Macaca mulatta: one gene and its partners. The protein of the gene in region 3 purifies or fractionates together with the protein of the main gene of each other region. This does not show direct contact. Links are inferred from orthologs where the notes say so. Each region holds a gene or a part of one and is shown on either strand. Other genes may lie near its edges.

Region 1 (3,134 bases), on a different chromosome or scaffold from region 3:
CCTGAGTAGCTGGGATTATAGGTGTCCACCACCATGGCCGACTATTTTTCTTTTTTTGTAAAGACAATGTCTTGGCCGGGCGCGGTGGCTCAAGCCTGTAATCCCAGCACTTTGGGAGGCCGAGACGGGCGGATCACGAGGTCAGGAGATCGAGACCATCCTGGCTAACACGGTGAAACCCCGTCTCTACTAAAAATACAAAAAATTAGCCGGGCGAGGTGGCGGGCGCCTGTAGTCCCAACTACTCGGGAGGCTGAGGCAGGAGAATGGCGTGAACCCGGGAGGCGGAGCTTGCAGTGAGCTGAGATCCGGCCATTGCACTCCAGCCTGGGCGGCAGAGCGAGACTCCATCTCAAAAAAAAAAAAAAAAAAAAAAAAAAAAAGACAATATCTCACTGTTGCCCAGGCTGGTCTTGAACTCTCCTGAGCTCAAGCAATCCTCCTGCCTTAACCTCCCAAAGTGCTGGGATTACAAGTGTGAGTCACTATACCCAGCCAAAATTCTTAACATGCAATCTTTCCCACCTTCTTCAGCAAAGCAAGTAACAAAATTTAAAATGATCCACAAACTGCTAACAAATCTTTATTCTTTGCATAAATACCATTTAATAACTATTTTTAGCTTTATTATTAAAAGATTTTCTATGGTTTTTAAATACCCCAAATTAATATATACAACGAAATAATAAAGTCTTGAATTATGCCCTTTAAATCACTTACTTTTGCAATTAAGATTCTCTGAACTGGTTCAGAGTCATCAAAAACCACAAAACCAAAATTTGGAAGCTTTCCCCCAACACCCTTGGTATTGATGCGAAGTTCCACAACGTTTCCAAAACCTGTGAAAATATACATTACATCAAGGGTTAAATATTTTTAACAGAATACCTTGATGGCTCAAACTGTTCAGGATGAATAATCTTAATCTCCCTGATCCATTTTAAAATAAAACTTGCAAGCTTCTACACACAGTGATAGCCAACCTACATTTACTGAAGCAGGCAATCACCTAAGATACCAAGTAGCCTGCCTGCCTGTTGTGTTACCTTTCTGCATCTTTGTTAGTCCTTTCATACGTAAACTGTGTAACTCTGGAAAGACAATGTGTTTTCTCCTAATATATTGACCCGTTTGCCAAATGAATTCTTTATCTCTGAATTTATGACTGATTTATCCAGCTGTTTCTTCTAAACACTGTCGAGCCAGGCGAAATCAACACTAAGCAGTCACTGAGAAACATCTGAGATAGCCTACTCCCTTCTGCACAATTAAGGTGAGTCTGGTAGCTGGACACAGTATAAACAGAGAAACATTTTTTTAAAATAGTCATTTAAAAAGCTCCATATGCCTCTTAATTTAAAATAATTAAAAAACTTCTACAGCAAAATAAATCACTTACTCATGAAGAATTCTTTTAGTTCATTTTCATCAATATCATGTGGCAAGTTACCAACAAAAAGTTGATGACTATCTGGATAGCGAATTATTCTACGGTTGTCAGAGTCATTCTGTTCCATATCTCCTCTGCCTGAGAACAGAAATAGAGCAGATATTAAAGTTTACAATATCATAAAAACTACTTCAACAGAATGAATGTAAAAATCACAATATTGATATTCCTGTTTTAGTTTAATAAGAGTTGGTGAGCTTCTTGAAAAAGAGGCAAAACTACTTATTACTAGTAGGTTAGAAAACAGCATGACACTAAAATGTAAAGTGAGGACAATGACTAGGTTGCTAAAATAGCTTCTTCTAGATCTACTGGATTATACAAAAATCAAATACCAGTACAGGTATTCCTCCTTAACCAAACTGTTGCCATCACCCAGGAACCAAGCAGATTTCAGACAGTGAGGTACAGCTCTACTAAATATTTGCTTAGTCTTTTGAAATTCAAAATTCTTTGGCTGTATGACATTACAGCAAATCAGTAAATTTTAACAGCAATTATCACATTTATGTAGTCTATACATATTAGTGTATATGTATATATATACACATAAAATCTTATGATTCTCCCAATAACACGAGGAACACAGTGAGGAAAATAGGCAATACAAGAATAATTTGTGTAATATTTGACATAAAAGCAGCTCAGAATTTAAGGGTCTCACTCCAGATCCTAAGTTTAATCAGTGACAAATTTAGGACTTCTAGTTCAGTAACGTATCACTTTAAAAAAAAATTAACATTGTAAATGTGATATAAACTATCTCCATCTCTCCCATCTCCTCCCCAAAGCAATCTAAACATTCTTACAGAGTTCAAATAAAGGTATTACATGTATAGCTAACAATGTAAACAAGTCAAAAATCATGGCAACTTAATACCTAAGAATCAAAATGTGCTTATTGTTTATCTGTGAAGAGATAAGAGTGCTGAGAGAGTAGGTTATTGGCAACTTGGTTTTGAACTCTTAAAACCAGTGACTAGGCCAGGCGCAGTGGCTCACGCCTGTAATCCCAGCACTTTGGGAGGCCGAGGCGGGTGGATAACCTGAGGTCGGGAGTTCGAGACCAGCCTGACCAACAACATGGAGAAACCCCGTCTCTACTAAAAATACAAAATTAGCTGGGCCTGGTGGCACATGCCTATATTCCCAGCTACTAGGGAGGCTGAGAAAGGAGAATCGCTTGAACCTGGGAGGCAGAGGTTGCAGTGAGCCGAGATGGTGCCATTGCACTCCAGCCTGGGCAACAAAGAGTGAAACTCCATCTCAAAAAAAAAAAAAAAAAAAAAGACTTGTTAACGTCTTTTACACCTTCAAAATATGTCACCATGGCATGTCAACCAATCCTCCCTAAAAATTGGTTATTCGGCCCCAGACACTATTTTAGTGGATTGCTCACATCACATCTTTAAGCAATTTGAGACTATATGGGTCTGTGTATAGAACACATCATAGTTTCTTGGTTTTTTAAAATTCAGTGTTTTCCAACCTTACAAATGTTAAATGCTAAAGGCTATAAAAGAGCTGACTCACCTGGTCTTGGTCCTCTAGGAGGAAAACCAGGTCGTTCTCTAGGTCGTTGTTCACGCACACGAGGTGGCTGAGACTGAACTTCTGGTTTAGCTTCAACTCTTGGCTAAAATATAAAGAAAAAAAAACATTATAAAAAACACTCCACAGGAGA
Region 2 (3,500 bases), on a different chromosome or scaffold from region 3:
GAAACCAAGGTGGGCAGATCACCTGAGGTCAGGACTTCAAGACCAGACTGACCAACATGGTGAAACCCCGTCTCTACTAAAAATACTAAATTAGCCAGGCGTGTTGGTGCACACCTGTAATTCCAGCTACTCAGAAGGCTGAGGCAGGAGAATTGCTTGAACCCAGGAGGCAGAGGTTGCAGTGAGCCGAGATTGCGCCACTGCACTCCAGCCTGGGCAATATGAGTGAAACTCTGTCTCAAAAAAAAAAAAAGATTGATGTTATTGGCTCTTGTAGAGGAAACTAATAAAGTGTCTGTATCTGTGTGATTTGAGGTCTTAAAAAAAAAAAAAAAAAAAAAAGTACTGCCTAGTTTGGTCTTGACATTTTGTTACTTAATTACAGTATTTGAAAGGAAGGGGGCCGGCCGGGCACAGTGGCTCACACCTGTAATACCAGCTCTTCGGGAGACTGAGGTGAGTGGATCACCTGAGGTCAGGAGTTCAAGACCAGCCTAGCCAACATGGTGAAACTCCGTCTCTACTAAGAATACAAAAATTAGCCAGGCATGGTGGTGTACGCCTATGGTCCCAGCTACTCAGGAGGCTGAAGCAGAATTGCTTGAACCTGGGAGGCAGAGGTTGCAGTGAGCCAAGATCATGCCACTGCACTCCAGCCTGGGCGACAGAGCAAGCAAGACTCCATCTCAAAAAAAAAAAAGGAAAAGAACATTTACTTTATCCACTATTACCAAGTGGATGCTGGAGTAGGTGCTTTCGCTGTGTGATCTTATTTAACTGTTAAAAAAAGACATACATTAATAACTAAACTAGAAATTTAATATCCACAGCCACCATATTTTGAGTAAGCTAGACTACAAGTTAGTTATCTAGGACCACCATAGTTCTCTATGCAGTCCATTAGCAATCTACAAATTACTTTTCCAAAAATGCTGGCTTTACCTCATTTGTGACCTTTGCTCCAAAAAGCCAACCTGCTCCTCGCGGACTGATAGCCCAAGTATCCACATCTTCAGGATCTGACCAAACCAGATCACAAAATGCTCCTTTATGAGGAATTTCCTGATTCCGTTCGATGGTTCGAATTTGATCCAGTGTTTTGATATCAGGAGATAAACCACCATGGACACACAAAATCTGCTCATCTATTAACTAGCAAAAAAGGATAACAAAGAGTTGAACATATAACCTCAGGCATATCTAAATTCATCAATGAATACTAAAGATATCAACATAATTGAGATGACAACTAGATAAAAATATGCAATGTGTTATTGGCAGGAACATACATGAGACTTTAAAAATAGAAACTTACAGCTGCTACTGTGAGCATGTCAAAAACTTTGGTACAGTATCTCCAGGCATTAGCATTTCCATATTTGGTTTGGCACTCATCTGTGAAAGAAACAGAAGGGTTTTAATTAATGAATCTGCCAATAAAAATAAACAATATATCCAATACTAGAGCAGCTTTCAGTATAACAGAAATTCAGCTTAAACTAGGACAGCAAGATACGACACATATTTAGTCCTACTAGGACCTCCACATAGAGCCAAAAGAACACTAGTGATTAACTATATACAGTTATATGTCCCTTAATCATGGGGATACATTCTGAAAAATGCATTGTTAGGTGATTTTGTCATTGTGTGAACATCATCACATATCCTTACTAACCCAGATGGTCTAGCCTACTACACACCTAAGCAATATGATATAGCCTATTGCTTCTAGGCTATAAACTTGTGAAGCATGTCACTGTACTAAATATCGTAAGGAAATAGTAACACAAGGGTAAGTATTTGTGCAATAGGAATTTTTCAACTGCGTTATATCTACGGGACCACTGTTGTATATACAGTCCATCATCGACTGAAATGTCATTATGTGGCACATGACTGTATTTCCTAAGGATGTAGTACTGCTCTTCATTCCTGGAATGGACCTAAGAAGCAGCTGAAATTATTAACCAAAATGCTATCATTAGAAGAGTCAAATACAAATTTCACACAACCTGAAGCAAATGTTTTTACAGTTATGTTAATATTAGGTAATTCTGGTAAACAGATAAATTTATTTAAGGAGACCATTCTAGCAGGATAATCAGATCAAACAAATTAGAGGACCCTTAGTTATAGGAACATGAGCAATTCCTAACTCTTCTCAGGGCCAAGTTGTCTCTTCTGAGATTTTCTGCAAATTGTCCAACTAAACACTTGAGCTTCAGTGGATCACAACTGAGGACAGACTGCCAGTCAGGTTCTTACAAATTCCCAGTTGAACACTCTTCCTGCTGCCTCCATAGCTTTTTGTTTTTGAGATAAGGTCTCACTCTGTCGCCCAAGTCGGAATACAGTGGCGCAATCAGCAGTGGCAAGATCACAGCTCACTGTAACCTCAACCACTTGGGCTCAAGCGATCCTACCACCTCAGCCTTCCGAATAGCTGGAACTACAGGCATGTGCCACCACACCTGACTAATCTTATTTCTGGTAGAAATGGGGGTCCCCCTATGTTGTCCAGGCTGGTCTTGAACTCTTGAGCTCAAGCAATCCTCCTACCTCAGCCTCCCACAGTGCTGAGATTACAGGTGTGAGCCACTATACCCTGACTGTCTACATAGTTAATAGGGTACACACTTCTTCTGTTAACACCATGGAAGCTCTGCACTTTGACTTCTTCCATAATTTTAGAAAAAAAAAAACCTGACATACCATTATTGCCTTAAGTGAAGCTGAAAATGATATAGGAAAGAAGTCTGCAGGTTATGACCACTCCCCAAGATTTTCTCAATTATATATCTATGTGAAGCAAGATTGTTATGTAAACTTGGCATAAGAGAGCCCTAACAATGAGCTCAGGTTGCAGGCAGGGATCTTGAGCTTGGCTCTATAGTAACTGCCCAGCATGTGTTTTTTGTTTTTTTGTTTTTTTGTTTTTTTTTGAGACGGAGTCTCGCTCTGTCGCCCAGGCTGGAGTGCAGTGGCGCGATCTCGGCTCACTGCAAGCTCCGCCTCCCGGGTTCACGCCATTCTCCTGCCTCAGCCTCCCGAGTAGCTGGGACTACAGGCGCCCACAACCGCGCCCGGCTAATTTTTTGTATTTTTAGTAGAGACGGGGTTTCACCGTGGTCTCGATCTCCTGACCTTGTGATCCGCCCGCCTCGGCCTCCCAAAGTGCTGGGATTACAGGCGTGAGCCACCGCGCCCGGCCCCAGCATGTGTTGAACTGAAGGCCCAGTGTAAAGTTATATAGGGATATCTTATTCCTTTAAAATCAATGTAAGTCTTATAATAACTAAAATTATCTTATTCCCGAGGAGCTGTTAAGCTTCATTTTATTAAACAAAACCATACAACACCACTACAAGAACAGAGCTCTGGGAACAAGAAAGTTCAATACTAGATTTTGTGTTGCTGTCATTTTCCTCAGTCAAGGCACCTTGATTAAAATGTCCTCCTTCCTCACCCCATTTTTTTCCCCTTTAGCCCTACATTGA
Region 3 (4,298 bases):
TAAAAAGGCTGGGCACGGTGGCTCACACCTGTAATCCCAGCACTTTGGGAGGCCCAGGCGGGCGGATCACCAGAGGTTGGGAGTTCGAGACCAGCCTGACCAATATGGAGACACCCCCTCTCTACTAAAAATACAAAATTAGCCGGGCGTGGTGGTGCATGCCTGTAATCCCAGCTACTCGGGACGCTGAGGCAGGAGAATCCTTTTGAACCCATGGCTGGAGGTTGCGGTGAGCTGAAATAGTGCCATTGCATTCCAGCCTAGGCAACAAAAGAGAAACTCCATCTCAAGGGAAAAAAGATACAAACAAACAATAATAATTGAAAAAAATTCTTAAAAAATTTCCATACAACAGTAATTTTTTTAATTTTTAAATTTATTTTTACTTTTATAGACTTTAGGGGTACATGTGCAGTTTTGCCTCAGGGATATATCACATAGTGCTGAAAGTCTGTACCCAACTGAAATTGTACCCAACTTCTGAATAACGTTCACATTTGTCTCATTCCCCTCCTATCCTTCTACTGAGGAGGTTTTTTTTGTCCTGTCCCTAAAAATGTCACCGTAAATCTATTTGATTAGGGAAAACAATGTTTGGTTTGACCCCGACGTGATTTGAACACGCAACCTTCTGATCTGGAGTCAGACGCGCTACCGTTGCGCCACGAGGCCTGCCCGAGAGGGTGACTTGAGGGGTCTCTTGAACAGCAATAAGGGGAGGACTTTTGTCATGAAGCCGTATCTTTAAGATTTGTCAGCGCATTTCTGCGAGGCACCAGCTGACGAGATGTGGGCGCACGTACGTAGGAATCTGAATAAATAATAAAGAGGCAAATTGTGTTTAGGCGCATTTGACTTAGGGCCCAGTTCCTTAACTTGAATCACATTGAGCTCATTGAGCCCACTCTACAGAGAAGCGATTTTTATGCGTCTAGGACTCTTTTTTTTTTTTTTTTCTGGAGATGATAAATCATCATGATGCCGCTGCAGTTCTCGCCCCCTGGAGAGATCTTAGATGTAATCCCAGCTCTGCCGGTGACTCAACTTCTTTGGACCTTGGTTTCCTCGTCTGTAGACTGGGCATAACCCTACAGGTTCATGTGGGGTGGCGCGCACTAGCGGTAAAGGTCACGCACAATTGCGCCGGGCAGACGACAGCAGCCATTACTTTTACCTGGATCTCGCTGATGCTGTTTCCCTGGCTCCGCACGGGTCCAACGCGACTCACCGCAATCAACATGAGGTATGAAAGAAAACAGCAGTACCTAAGCGTTGGTGGTATAGTGGTGAGCATAGCTGCCTTCCAAGCAGTTGACCCGGGTTCGATTCCCGGCCAACGCAAGTGCATTTTGAATTTTTTTTTTTCCCTCTTTTCTTTCTCGTGTTTTCTGGGCCCCACCATCGTTGAGGATTTTCGTGAGGTTTTCCTGAGGAACCGTCCTCTCCGAAAGAACCCGCTTTCCGCTACACCTGCGACCACTGCCGGACCACCGCGCTCCTGGCGGATGCGCCCTGCAAGCCCCTCCAGGTGAGAGCAGCCTGTCGGAATTTCGGCCCGGGGTTGCCTACTGTTCCCGGATCGCAGTGCGAATCCACAAAACGCAGGGAGGTGAAAGGAAACAAAAGCCCGGGCTCTGCACCCTGGACAGCCGGGGGCCAAATGGCTGCTTGCCCAGGTTCAAGCAGAGACTGGAAATGCGCACTGCCGTCAAGGAGGGAGCAAGCTAGATCAAGTTTGAGCACTAATGAACATATTGAGCGGAGGAGATAGTGGCCACTTTAGGTACACGTTTGAACTCCAAGTTGCTTGAACTAAAATGGAAACTTAGAATGCGAGCTGGAGAGGTAGGCCAAACTTTCCTCCCCTCCTCCTTTCCCTCTTTTTTCTAGCTCCATCCCAGGGGCCAGGACGGATTTAATGAAAGCAAAATCATTTGGATTCTCCCCCTCGGGGAATGGAACCCCGGTCTTCCGCGTGACAGGCGGGGATACTCACCACTATACTAACGAGGAGTGACCCGTCAATGGTCGTCTCCAAATCCTTGATCTGGGACTTTACACTCGGCTTGCTGACAGCAGAGTTCCTAAGGGTTCTGTTCTTCCGACCACCGAGAAAAGCCGACCAGAAACTGTAGGTGTATTTCAGGCACCCATCGTCAGACGGAGTGACCGAAAGAGACAGAGTACCTCCAGGGCTGCAGAGAACCAAGTTCTGACAGTTCCTGGGCTCTCCCGAACACTGTCATCCACAACTATAGATTGATGGGTGTCAATCAAACCGAAACCAGGCTGTAGTGGCGGAGTTGAGACACCACGCAGGAAGTCAAGAAGCAGAAAGGGAGCGTCCTGCCCAAGTCTGGGCGTGCCTCGTCTCTTCCTGACATGCCAGGCGGGTCTGGGGACTGAGATTCTTTCTGTTACCCCGGTGCCACAAAAGAGCTTACTGTACATTGATGATTTCCAGTGAAGCCTCCTGCAGCGCTGGTCAGGTAACACATTCCTTGAAGACACTCTTATTTCAGCAAAACGTAAAGGAGGGCTCGTCCGGGATTTGAACCCGGGACCTCTCGCACCCGAAGCGAGAATCATACCCCTAGACCAACGAGCCGACGTACGAATGCCGTTGCGAACCGCCCTAGAGGTCGTGCCAGGCTAGCTGTAGTGCCGGGTCCACTATGCATGGCAGAACGGTCCTGGCGCCGCTCAGGAACCAGCCTCCCCCAAGCCTAGTATTTTGGAGCACGGGTCTGGGAGTCCCTTGGCTCTGGGCCGCCAGCTCCAACTCCTCCCAGGAAATAGCGTCGAGGAAGTGGAAGGGAGTGGCCTCAGCCTAGCCCCCGCGCCGCCCTGGAGGACTGCCTTGAACACCCGGGTTCCTGCTTCCTTTGGTCACCGACTCGGTGCCATTCCGTAACCTGGGATCTTGACAATTCCCGCCTCCGCCTGCGGTCCTTGGACCTAGTCCTTCGTTGCAGAGCTTTGAAGAGAAGCGGTGGAGTTGCTTGCTTTCGGGACGGGTCGGAGACAGTTAATGAGCCTTGAAATCACTAGGGGAACACCAGTTCCCCGTGTCTGTCTATCCTCCTGGGCTAACGGGCAGGGCAAACCCCGGGCCAGACCCGTCGATAGACTACGGGTTCCCCAGACCGCGTGGCAGTGCCCAGGCGAGGGAAAGAGGGAACGATTTCTGGGGCCCAGGAGACCCACGGTGGAGGGCGTTATTGATCTGGGTGACTGGAGTGGGACAGGCTTTCCACCCTGCAGTGGGGCGGGGCGCAAGGCCAGGCGACTAGTCTCGTGGCTTCTGGACTGTAAGATCAGGTTACCCCTACCCTCCGGTCTAACCTCTGCTCTCCAGTCCCCTCCTAGAATGGCCTAGAAGGAGACCTTCCTGCCTGCCTCCTAAGACCCCCCCGAAGGCTCTGAGGCAAGTGGCCTCACGAGTGTGGTCTAAGACCTGTAGACCCGGTTTGGGGACTTAGCAGTACTCCGGAGCTGCCCAGAGTCCCAGAAGATCTGGTGGAGTCAGTAGCAGACCACGTGTTCTGCCTTTCCTCAGCTCAGTGCCTGTTCTGGGGAGTCCTCCCCGCGGGGTTCTGGCCTGCATCGGTCCTGGACCAGCCTGGTAGCATCTCTGGAACCATTTTGTTCTACACCCCAGTTATGTGATTTGTGGGGCCAGGCCGTTCCTAACGCCCAACCCATAGATACGTTGACGGGGCCTTCAGTGAAGGATTCAGCTCCTATTTGTCCTTTCCCAGGTGTCCCTGGGCAGACAGTGGGGAAGGGCAGAAGTTAGCCCAGTCTTTCCCATTAGTGTCCTAAGTCTTTGAGACGGGTAAAGAGGTTCTCAGGGCTGATCTGGCATCTCCTCCCCCATCCCTACCCTTTTCCAATTCCTGTCTCCCTCCCCTTGGGCTCCAGCTTTCTCTGCAAAATAATCCAGTCACCTCTTTCTTCCCTGGTCTGAAGAACTTAATCTCTGCAGAAGGGGAGGCCTAAATCCTTTATGACCCTTATGAAAGCTATGACCCTCTTCCCCGGGGGCGGTGGCTCACACCTGTAATCCCAGCACTTTGGGAGGCTGAGGCGGGTGGATCACAAAGTCAGGAGTTCAAGACCAGCCTGGCCAAAATGGTGAAACACCGTCTCTACTAAATATACAAAAATTAGCCCGGCACGGTGGCACGCGCCTGTAATCCCAGCTACTTGGGAGGCTGAGGTAGGAGAATTGCGCAAACCCAGGAGGCAGAGGTTGCAGTGAGTCAATATCGTGCCACTGCACTCCAGTCTGGGTG
Region 4 (3,500 bases), on a different chromosome or scaffold from region 3:
CCGAAGCGGGCGGATCACCTGAGGTCAGAAGTTAGAGACTAACATGGAGAAACCCGTCTCTACTAAAAATACAAAAATCAGCTGGGTGTGGTGGCATGCACCTGTATTCCCAGCCACTCAGGAGGCTGAGGCAGGAGAATCGCTTGAACCCAGGAGGCAGAGGTTGCAGTGAGCTGGGATCGTGCCACTGCACTCTAGCCTGGGCGACAGAGCAAGTCTCCATCTCAAAAAAATAAATAAATAAAATAGTAATAAACTAAATTAAAAAAAAAAAACCAGACCTCAGCCCTCTGATGTAATGATTAGACTTATATTTCACTTAGGCAAAGTACACATATCTCAGTATTTTATTTTTCTTTCCCTATCTCAATATTAAAAAAAAAAAAAAAAAAGCTGTAAAAGATAAGTCCAGGTGTGGTGGCTCACGCCTGTAATCCCAGCACTTTCAGAAGGTCAAGGTGGGCAGATCCCTTGAGGCCAGGAGTTTGAGACCAGCCTGGCCAACATGGCAAAACCCCATCTCTACTAAAAATACAAAAAATTAGCTGGGTGTGGTGGTGGATGCCTGTGGTCCCAACTACTTGGGAGGCCAAGGCGTGAGGATCACTTGAACCTGGGAGGCAGGGGTTACGGTGAGCTGAGACTGCGCCACTGCACGCCAGCCTGGGCAACAGAGCAAAACTCAAAATTTAAAGAAAAAGCTATAAAAGATGGAGACTAGGCCGGGTGCAATGGCTAACGCCTATAATCCCAGCACTTTGGGAGGCCAAGGCGGGCGGATCACAAGGTCAGGAGATCAAGACCATCCTGGCTAACACGGTGAAACCCCGTCTCTACTAAAAATACAAAAAAACTTAGTTGGGCATGGTGGCGGGCGCCTGTAATCCCAGCTACTCGAGAGGCTGAGGCAGGAGAATGGCGTGAACCTGGGAGGCAGAGCTTGCAGTGAGCCGAGATCACGCCACTGCACTCCAGCCTGGGCAACAGAGCAAGACTCTGTCTCAAAAAAAAAAAAAAAAGATGAAGACTAAGGAATTCACTGAGATTTTATGTGAAGTATTAAAAACCATGCGGTTAATAAAAAACTTTTTAAGCTCTCCACAGCACAACCCAAGGAAGCCTGAAGCCAAGGAAGCCCGAGTTCGTGTGGGAGCACAGCACAGTCAAGTGAGATCTGCCTGCCACCTGCCACCTGCCACCAGTGTGGACGCTGCGTGCTGCAGGGAGCCAGCAGGGCTCGCCACTGGACCAGGCCACCGTGGGACTGTACCTGGTCATGACTCGGGCGTGTGTCCGGCTGTCCATCTTACTTGCAAGGAGCAGAGCGTGACCCCACAGGCCATTCTTCATTGCAGACTCCAAAGCATCCTGCAAAAGGCATTCCAGGGGCCTTGGTGAGTTATCGGTGGTGCTCATGTGACATGAGTCAAGACAGGCGACAGGCCATGTGTCCTCACGCAGCAGCAGATACACAAACAACCCAAAGGCCTCAAAAACTTATTCACCATTTGGAGATTAAGACACGTCAGCATTTCACTATTTTCCTGAGTTTCAAAGTCCCTGTGGTAGTGGGTATCTGTAGATATTTGCTGCTTTTATCCATTTTCAGCATAAAACATAAGCACGCTAATCACAAATAGGGCTAACCACACCGCACTGCCCACCACGCCGCCCCGTCCACTGGGAAACACACGCGGGTCAATTCCCCGGTTCTAACAGGAGGCCTCCACGAATATCCGTCAGCACAGACAGTGGCTCCAGTAAGGCAGCCTCCCCTTTCGCCAAAATCATCTAGGGTATAATTTAGGACTTCAGGCTAGGAGGCAAAAATGCTACAGTAGAGGAAGATGTTAATAAAAGCTAACAGGTTACACGACTTCAATCAGTTATAAAACATCCATAATAGACTCATACTGATCAGGCCGGGCGCGGTGGCTCATGCCTGTAATCCCAGCACTTTGGGAGACCAAGGCGGGCGGATTGCTTGAGCCCAGGAGTTCGAGACCAGCCTGGCAACATGGTGAAACCCCGTCTCTACGGAAAAAAAAAAAAAAAGTTAGCCCGGCGTGGCGGCGTGCAGCTGTAGTCCCAGCTACTCAGGAGGCTGAGATGGGAGGATCACTTGAACCCAGGAGGTCGAGGCCGCATTAAGCGGTGATCACGCCACTGCACTCCAGCCTGGGCAAGAGCGAGATTTTGTCTCAAAAAATAAAACTAAAAAAATAAAAGTACTGGCCAAATATGCCCTTTCTGAGTTTATCATGATATAAAAGGACGGAGAGCTCTGGGCCTATCCAATGTCTCTGCTATTCAGGGCCACACATGCCCGTGAGACTGGCCTCTCTCCTGCTTAGCACATCCAAAGCGGACATCATGCGCCCTAGACAGGCCCTCCTGTGAACACACTGTCCCTGCTGCAGTCGCTATGGACCCCCCAATCCCACTGTCCCAGAGCAGGCTCCTGTCTCAGGTCCCCCACCTGCCCTGGTCCCCAGGCTGCTGTGGCCCCAGTCACTGGACGCTATACGCACTGGCTGCTCCCCTGCCCGTGGCCTTTCCATGCACTGCGCCTCTGACAGGCTGGGTGCGTCCTCCCAACTCCCAACGACTTCTGGGCTGTGGACTCGAGCCTGACTTTGTGAGAATGCCAAAACTCGTGTCATGCATGTCTCATCTGAGACTTGGCACACACAGCAGGGACACGGCCCGTGCTCAACACGTGCATTTATTGAATGACTGAAAATTCCATCTGCAGGTCTCCAACACTGGAAATAGTTAGAAGGAAACCCACATGAACACCTCCAGAAGGATGGCATAAAAGAGGCCGGCATCGTTCACGAAACAGCAAGACCCGAAGCCCCACACCGCAGCGCGGACGCTCCCGAGAGGGGCCGTGTCCCTCCCCAACGGCTGCATCGCCCGCACCAGGCCCGACCCAGTGGACACCTGCAGGCGCCAGGTGCCATGATGGGCAGGCGCACCTTCTTACGGCCATACAGCAACAGCTCCCTGAACCGCTCCGTCTCTCTCTCAAGAGAGCTGGCAGCAGCCGTCGGACCACCAGTGAGGAAAGAGAGCTGGGCCTCGCCAGACTCCTCCTCTTCCACCTGCTCCACCGCCTCGTTCGTGAAATCAATCAGGTTTGCTTCATTGGGCGACTTCCCAGGAAGCCACACTGTTCTGTGGTCTCGTAAGAGAAGCTCCGCAATGTCGGTCCCTACCACGGTCTGTTCGGGTCAACAGGAACAGGAAGGAGAACAATGGCTCTCAGGTGAGGACGCATTAGATCATCACGGGGACAAAGCCCCACCCTGGACACAGCCAGACCCACAACTACCCGAAAGGCTGGCAAGGCTGGACTGAAACCTCATCTCATCCCAACCGCATGTTCCCTCTCCCTCCCCACCCAGTCCTCGAGGCTCCCACAGCTGGGCAGGCGGATCTCGCCCTGCTCCGCCAGGAGGCTGAGCATGCAATGCCCAAGACGAAATGAAGACCAG

What was found.
Region 1: the proteins of AURKB (region 3) and G3BP2 purify together in Homo sapiens (affinity purification with mass spectrometry; 3 studies listed by BioGRID and IntAct, with this or other methods). This does not show direct contact. The link is inferred for Macaca mulatta from reciprocal best matches to the Homo sapiens genes AURKB and G3BP2.
Region 2: the proteins of AURKB (region 3) and PPP6C purify together in Homo sapiens (affinity purification with mass spectrometry, with the first as the bait; 3 studies listed by BioGRID). This does not show direct contact. The link is inferred for Macaca mulatta from reciprocal best matches to the Homo sapiens genes AURKB and PPP6C.
Region 4: the proteins of AURKB (region 3) and SEC16A purify together in Homo sapiens (affinity purification with mass spectrometry; 3 studies listed by BioGRID and IntAct, with this or other methods). This does not show direct contact. The link is inferred for Macaca mulatta from reciprocal best matches to the Homo sapiens genes AURKB and SEC16A.

The regions. Positions count from the first base shown.
Region 1 is NC_133410.1:58,161,530-58,164,663, reverse strand, and holds part of G3BP2 (ras GTPase-activating protein-binding protein 2), read right to left. Parts: intron 3,087-3,134; coding exon 2,984-3,086; intron 1,529-2,983; coding exon 1,400-1,528; intron 840-1,399; coding exon 721-839; intron 1-720.
Region 2 is NC_133420.1:22,615,210-22,618,709, reverse strand, and holds part of PPP6C (serine/threonine-protein phosphatase 6 catalytic subunit), read right to left. Parts: intron 1,396-3,500; coding exon 1,316-1,395; intron 1,153-1,315; coding exon 943-1,152; intron 1-942.
Region 3 is NC_133421.1:9,727,390-9,731,687, forward strand, and holds the start of AURKB (aurora kinase B), read right to left. Parts: upstream 2,801-4,298; 5' UTR 1,997-2,800; intron 1,342-1,996; exon of another isoform or gene 1,270-1,341; intron 812-1,269; exon of another isoform or gene 601-811; intron 1-600. UniProt on the Homo sapiens protein: Serine/threonine-protein kinase component of the chromosomal passenger complex (CPC), a complex that acts as a key regulator of mitosis.
Region 4 is NC_133420.1:6,037,235-6,040,734, reverse strand, and holds part of SEC16A (protein transport protein Sec16A), read right to left. Parts: intron 3,228-3,500; coding exon 2,982-3,227; intron 1,369-2,981; coding exon 1,271-1,368; intron 1-1,270. UniProt on the Homo sapiens protein: Acts as a molecular scaffold that plays a key role in the organization of the endoplasmic reticulum exit sites (ERES), also known as transitional endoplasmic reticulum (tER).